Nothobranchius furzeri: one gene and its partner. The protein of the gene in region 1 purifies or fractionates together with the protein of each later gene. This does not show direct contact. Links are inferred from orthologs where the notes say so. Each region holds a gene or a part of one and is shown on either strand. Other genes may lie near its edges.

Region 1 (3,665 bases):
GAGAGGAAGTGGGTCATTGGGACACAGAACTGAGCTGGTTCTGGTCTACATGCAGGTTTAATAAAACATAAACCAGCAGCTTTGATCCTTGGGTTTTAGGTTAATATCTTTGTTTTATTAGCAATAAAACACACCATGCTCAATGACTCTTGTTTTCACCTCCTCCTGCTCCTCGTTCTCCTTCTGCTCCTCCTCTTCCTGCTCCTCTCTGGTCTCAGTCTCTCGGTCCTTGCTGGGGACCCAGAGTTGGAGCGAGACAATCCTGTCTCAGATCACAGCTCAGAGCTCAGGTGAGCTGCAGGTGTACCCGTCTGTCCTCCTGAACATCATCTGATATTTATTATCATCCTCCACCCAGATGCAATGTGTGTGTGTGTGTATTTGCATGCATGCATGTGTGTGTGTGTATTTGCATGCATGCGTGTGTGTGTGTGGGGGGGGGTGTATTTGCATGCATGCGTGTGTGTATTTGCATGCATGCATATGTGTGTGTATTTGCATGAGTGTGTGTGTGTGTGTGTGTGTGTGTGTGTGTGTGTGTGTGTGTGTGTGTGTGTGTGTGTATTTGCATGCGTGCATGAACGTGTGTGTATTTGCATGCATGCGTGTGTGTGTATATTTTTATGTGTGTGTGTATTTGCATGCATGCATGTGTGTGTGTCTATTTGCATGCATGCATGCGTGTGTGTATTTGCATGCATGCGTGTGTGTGTGTATTTGTATGCATGCACGTGTGTGAATTTGCATGTGTGTGTGTGTGTATTTGCATGAGTGTGTGTGTATTTGCATGCATGTGTTTGTGTATTTGCATGCATATATGCGTGTGTGTATTTGCATGCATGCATGCGTGCGTGTGTGTGTTTGCATGCATGCACGTGTGTGTATTTGCATGTGTGTGTATTTGCATGCATGCGTGTGTGTGTGTGTAATTGCATGCATGCAAGTGTGTGTATTTGCATGCGTGCATGCAAGTGTGTGTATTTGCATGCATGCGTGTGTGTGTGTGAGTGTGTGTCTGTGTGTGTGTTTGCATGCATGCATGCGTGTGTGTGTGTGTGTGTGTGTGTCTGTGTCTGTGTGTGTGTGTCTGTGTCTGTGTGTGTGTTTGCATGCATGCATGCATGTGTGTGTGTGTGTGTATTTTAGATCCTAAAGGCCGTCTGGTCTTAATATAACAGGTTTCAAACCCACTTCCTCTAAAAACGGACAGAAATTAGGATTATAACATAATCCATGAGGAAAGTCATCTAGATGAAGGTTCCAGCAGCAGCTTCGTGTTCTGGATTGGGTCCTCAGATGTTTCTCCTCTGATGGAAGTTTTTAGTAGAAATGAACGTCTGATTGGGTCAGAACCACCGGTTCTCCTCACAGGAAGGTGGAAACGCCCGGGGTCAGGGGGAGTCCAGTCGGGTCTCAGTCCGAGGGCTGCAGACTAGCGGGAGGAGGAGGAGGGAGCAGTGGATCGGAGCCGAGCCGCAGCAGAAACGGTTTGTTTCTTCTCTGTTACCATGGATACTGATTATGTCTCTAAATAATCGGAGTTGTTTTCCTCCTACATCTGAGTTTTAATCTGTGATCAAACCATAAAATAATCTGTTTCTGTTCTGCAGGGGCATCAAACTCCAGAGAGAAAGGCTTCCGTGGGCTGAGCGACCGAACTGGGTCTCTGCATCTAGGTGGGAATCAGGTTGTTTGGAATCAGAAACGTCCTCTGGACCTATTCAATTTCAATTCAGCTCAGTTTATTTCTAAAGCGCCAAACCACGACCAGAGTCGTCTCAGGGACCTTCACACAGTAAACGATCCAACACAGGTCAGGTCATTAACCCAGCAGGTTGCATCGAGTCACTGACTAGTGTCAGAGTATTTACAGCAATCCTTATACTAAGCAAACATGCAGCGACAGTGGAGAGGAAATGGAGTCTTTGTGTTCCTGTTTGTGAAACTTAAACTCAGGTTTCCTGTTTCCACAGATGATGACGTTGAATATGACGATGATTTCAACAGGTGAGATTTCCAGGTGACCTGCTGCTGCGTGTGCTGGTCGGTTAATCCTCACAGATTTGATTTCCTTAGCTTTTTATTTCATTTATTCATGCAAGATTTTCTCGTTCAGCTCTAAACCGCCAGTTTTATTCAAAATAATTAGAAATGAGTTTTTCCTGTCCAAATGGACTCTAAATACCGGGTGAGATCAAATCGGAATCATCGGAATTACTGTGAATATTTGGTACATTATTTCTGGAAACTTCCATATTTGGGTCCAAATTAGTTTACAGGTCTTATAAAAGCTCTAAAGGTTTTGATTTATAAGCATCAGAGTTATAACAATCTAAAGAGGTGGTTTTACTGAGCTCTGAACCAGCCGATCGGCTTGAATTAGAACTAAGTTTGTGTGTTCCAGCCACCGGTCGGACCTCTCCAACGGAGAGCTGAGCATCGGCGAGGAGATTGAGGAAGTTTCCATCGAAGGTCCTGAAAACAGCGACAAGGTGACGAAAAACTCCTGAGCAGCAGATCTGAGTTCAGTTTAAACTGCTGGTTTCAACCCGCTGTTGTTTGTTTGTGTGTCGATGCAGTTTGATGAGTCCACCCAGGACCTGAGCGTCTCTCAGCTCAGCCAGAGCAACGTCGCCGATTATATGGAGGACGTGTCCTGAATCTCCCATCATGCACCTCTTCCTGTACAGATTTATAGAAACGACTAACGAGCTTTGTGCTGCTGAGAGTGATGATGATGATGATGAAAGATTTGTTTCTATTTATCTGGAACTTTCTGAGGAAACACGAGTCGTCGTAACAACAGGAAGTAACTTTTCAGTCTAAAAGGAGAAGAAGAAATTTTCTTCATCACATTTGAATGGGTTCAGCTCTGTGATGCTGTACGGAAAGCAGTTTTACTCCATATTAAACTAAGATGTGAATAATGAAAATAAATTAACTGAATCAAGTCTTTTTTATTGTAGTATCAACTAAATGATCACATGTAGCTTATCAAAGTAAAAGTCTTTTAACATCATTTAAACAATAAAACAAGTTACCTTTCCACCTCATCCCCCCAGAGCAAACAGGAACACCCTCCTCGAGTAATAAAGACCATTCAGCCTCATGCATTCATCGGGTCAAAGTTAAACAACCCTCCTGATGCGGAACAAACATCTGGACATTTCTCATTAAAACGCTGGAAACATCTGGATTTATCCAATAGATCCAAACATTTTACAATAAAACAAAAGCAGCTGTTTTAGCAAACGATCTTAAAATATGTCGCACCTCACAGAGGAACTAGACATGGATGCCCACTTTCACCCGCACCACTAACACTTTAACACCTAAAATGAGTTTATATGCTGATGATGTACTCCTGTTCCTCCAAAACCCAAACAAATGCGGTGAACTCTCCACAATCTCGAATTATACCATAAACTGGAATAAATAAACCTCTAACAGTAAATGGAGACACAGCAGATTACATCCTACTACTAACACGGTCACATACTTAGGAGTGGAACTCTAAAGTCACATTTCGACAGTCGCAGTTCGACTCCCCTACTGGAAACGATAAGAGATGACTTAAACAGATGTATGACCGTACCTTCATCATTTATAGGATGGATTAACACCAAAACTGACCTACGTATTCACAGTGATCCCAACCAACAGCA
Region 2 (3,992 bases), on another chromosome or scaffold:
CACCGTTCTGTTACGGCTGATTTCTTTATTGTACTTTCTGCTTCTTGTTTAGCTGCTCTTGTTTGTCTTTGGTTTGTTTCCATGCCACACTCCTTTCTGTGTTCTATTGTTCGTGTGTTGAATTGGCGTCTGGTTTCCCCCGTGCGTGTTTTATTTCAGAGTTTGCATCGTATTTTGTAAATGACTCCACATTAGGGCTGGGCGATATCATGGCCCAAAATCAATATCACGATATATTGAGGATTTCACCTCGATAACGATAACTGGACGATAACTACAGGTATGCGCAGAAACAAAAGTTGTTCACGAGATGGAGCTGTCACATGTATTACGTTGAGTCACATTTTTACGTGACTCAAGGTGGTTCAGCTTCTTAAAGGGACGTGAACGCTGCCAACCTACACACATCTTTTCATTTTTGTATCAAATTTATTGACATGGAAAAAATGATCTCAATAAGAGTCAGAAATTTAAATAACGATCCATTTTCGATTTATTGCCCAACCCTGTTCCACATTGTTGTCCTGCTGATATCTTGTCCTTTGGGTGTACTAGTCTTTTTCTAACTGTTGTGTATGGTTTTGTTGGTGTGCTTATGTTGTGTTTTTTCATTGTTGCTATAATTATTATTTTCTTCTATACCTTTGATGTAAGGAAGAGTTATCACTGGTTTTGGTTCTTGTTTTTCTGGATTTCTGGTTTCTTTGTTTTGGCTGTTCTTTTCTTTCTGTTGTTGTTTGTTGTTTTCCTTAGTTTATTGCCCATGTCGGGTATCCACAGTTCTTTAAAACGTTTTGTATACGTTGGTCCTCCTGTTTACAGTCCCGTTCTTCTGTTATTATGTTCGCTGGGTGGTATAACGTGTGCTATATATATTGGTTTCCTGTATGCGTTTATAATCAGGGTCCCGCTGCTCTGTCTAGTTATTTTCATGTCCAAAACAACCCCATTTTTGTGTTTTAAAAGAACCAAGCAAGACATTCTCTTTCTGCTCTGGATTCTCTTTCAAGTTCAGAAGTTACAGATCATACTTTGTGTTTTTATTGAAGCTTGCAGTAGAAGAGTTTATGTGCTGAGTCCTAAAGTGCTTAGACAAGTTTGGATCTTTCTGTGTCAGAAATGCATAGATTTAATTACATAGCAACTGTTGCATTGTTCCATGTGTGTACCATTATTTATTTGTTCTTCTGTGTGGGTTACTTTATGCATTTTTTTACGTTTAGAAAGCAGCAGGTCAAAGCATCAGCAGCTAAAAGAACAAAGAACAGAAAGGTCCACTGAGAGGAGGCCACCCAAACTCATCAGGAAGGTCCACAAACTTCCTACTGCCTCAGATGTGAATGCTAAACCAGGTATAACAATCTTTTTCATGTGAAGGCCAATCTTAAAGCTGAAACAGGAAAAAATTGAATATGGTGCAAAAGTTGATTGATTTCAGTAATTCAACTTAACAGGGGAAATTAATATGAGACAGACTCATTAGCTCCAAAGCCAGATATTTCAAGCCATTATTTGTTATTATAATTTATTTAAATTATAATTGGAATGATTATGGCTTACAGCTTATGAAAACCCCACATTTAAAATTTCTATTAAAATATTGTTAAAAGGTAAAATTGTTTAGACTCAGTGTCTCTCACCAGCTAATGAATCCAAAACTCCTGCAAAGGGTTCCTGAGCCTTTAGACGGTCTCTCAGTCTAAGAAGAATTATTGAAATTAATTGACTTATGCACCATATTCTCATTTTGTAAGGCAGCGTTATTTGTATAGCACATTTCCATTAGCAAGAGCAAAAATATTAAAATTAACATGACAACACAATTAAAATACAAGAGCAGTTACAGTGCAGAAGATGCAGGCCATTCAAAGGCTGGTGAATACATGAAAGTTTTTAATCTTGATTTAAAAGTGGAGCACATTTGAGGTAATAAAGAAGTTGATTCCTAGCCTGGCCAGCCAGACTCTCTGTTTAATTCTGCACAGAGACTGAGTCTGGTGACTCTCAGCAAAGAGCACCATGAAGGTGTGGCCAGTGGAAGTGGGATCCAGAGGTTTTGTAGCTGGTTCCATAATGAGGCTTTTGAAGGAAGTAGGAATCAGAGGCCAGGCCCAAAGGAGGGCAATCAAAGAGCTTGCCACTGCAGCGGAACAGAGCAGTCACTGGCTGTGGCTGAAACGAAGGGATGCAATTTGGACTGCCAAATGATGACGTGGTGCTTCCGAGTGACACACACCTGTGTCTGATCAACCAGGGGTGGGCCAACCCCAGCAGAGGGTGTATTGTGATAAGTGGCCGAAACACCCAATGAGGTCGGGGCACACAACTGAAGAAGTGTTGCGCCGGTTTCACCACAAAATCTATGACAAAGCTCACTCCACTGAGTTTTCATTCAATTGTTGTGTTGAAAGGGATCTTAAACAACTAGTCCTAGGAAAATTCTTGATTGACATCCTTTGTATCTAAGTTTTTAGGTTGGTGTATGACTCGATCCATATCTTGGCCTAATAAAAACTGTTTGCATTTATGCTAATCATCATATAATTCCATCTGTATTTGAGTCCCAAGTTTTATCATTCACTTCAAACAATGGATTTAAGAGTCTCAAGTCATGTGCCTGGTTTTATAAACAGCCAGTGATCACATCAGCCCTGAAGAGTTGCAGGAATGTTTGTAGAGACATATTGTCTGAACAAAACCACTGTTGTATGAGTAGAAAGGGTTGGACTTCCCGCAGGCACAAGTTGGTCTTAAGTCTTACTGTTTGCACTTCACACCCTAAAGCTCCATCCCGAGGGTATAATTGCAAAAGGTCTCTGAAGAAAATGGATGACATTACAGGTTGTGTGGCTAGCATGGTAATACTATGCATTAGACATCCTGCAGCAATGACTTGGGTATTGAAATTTTTAAAATGTATCAAGATTTTTTAAAATTGTTTCCTGCCTTCCTTCATATACGGACCTGCAAACGCTACTTTAACCAGAGATAATGTTCTGCATTAGTCAATGTTAAAACTCTAATCTCATAAGAAATGTCTAGTATGCGTGACATGCTGGTTGTAACCAATAAGTGACACACTGACACTCACACAAGAGAATCACAGCCACATACTTCTGAAACCTGTCTGTAGCAGGACTCAGAACAACAGAAGAAAACCAAATACATGAACAAAATTATTAAAGACAATGTTGTTTTATATTTATAACAAGGAAAACCAATCAACATTTTATTATGACTTTTTGTGCAATTAAATGTTTGTTGAATCTGGAAGAGCATACTAGTTCAGTCCGTCTCTAAAACTATTTCGATCTTTAGTTTTAGTGGCTGATCTTTTGGCAGTCTCTGCTGTTTCCTCCGATCACACAGGAATGCACATAATTTCACCAGAGTAGCATGTTTTGCATTAGACTCCTACAGTGGCTCCACACTTACTTATCTCACAGATAAACGCTGTTTGAATGTCTGTAAAGTATCCACAATAATTTATGATTCTCCTGCAGTCAACAAACATGCTGCTGTGTGCAGCCATGTCCAGAGCCTATAAGTAAATAATGTAACCGTTTATGAAAATGTTCTGAAACTGTACTTGCATTCCATGCTTTCGTTCTTTTTTAAACACAGAAACAGTTTTGTTTACCTGTTTTGTAGCTACAGTTTCGCAGACGGCTGCCGGCTTCTTCAGGCTGACGCTGATGGTGGCGCGTCACTTCCTTCTCCGTTTATCTGTGGGCAGCAGAGGACGTTGTCGCCCTCTACTGCCCGCTCTCCCCTCTCCGACGATGCAGTCCCATGCGTGGTCCAGCGTGTAAACTCCGTCGTCCCAGGACTGCATCGTCGGAGAGGGGAGAGCGGGCAGTAGAGGGCAACAACGTCCTCTGCTGCCCGCAGATAAACGGAGAAGGAAGTGACGCACCACCATCAGCGTCAGCCTGATGAAGCCGGCAGCCGTCGGCGAAACTGTAGCTACAAAACAGGTAAACAAAACTGTT

What was found. The genes of interacting proteins can lie anywhere in the genome.
Region 2: the proteins of cep43 (region 1) and cep350 purify together in Homo sapiens (affinity purification with mass spectrometry; 6 studies listed by BioGRID and IntAct, counting the BioPlex papers as one, with this or other methods). This does not show direct contact. The link is inferred for Nothobranchius furzeri from reciprocal best matches to the Homo sapiens genes CEP43 and CEP350.

What each region holds. Positions count from the first base shown.
Region 1 is NC_091742.1:15,825,151-15,828,815, reverse strand, and holds the end of cep43 (centrosomal protein 43), read left to right. Parts: intron 1-218; coding exon 219-290; intron 291-1,371; coding exon 1,372-1,487; intron 1,488-1,610; coding exon 1,611-1,676; intron 1,677-1,973; coding exon 1,974-2,007; intron 2,008-2,404; coding exon 2,405-2,492; intron 2,493-2,579; coding exon 2,580-2,660; 3' UTR 2,661-2,951; downstream 2,952-3,665. UniProt on the Homo sapiens protein: Required for anchoring microtubules to the centrosomes. Required for ciliation.
Region 2 is NC_091748.1:57,218,578-57,222,569, forward strand, and holds part of cep350 (centrosome-associated protein 350), read left to right. Parts: intron 1-1,223; coding exon 1,224-1,352; intron 1,353-3,992. UniProt on the Homo sapiens protein: Plays an essential role in centriole growth by stabilizing a procentriolar seed composed of at least, SASS6 and CPAP. Required for anchoring microtubules to the centrosomes and for the integrity of the microtubule network.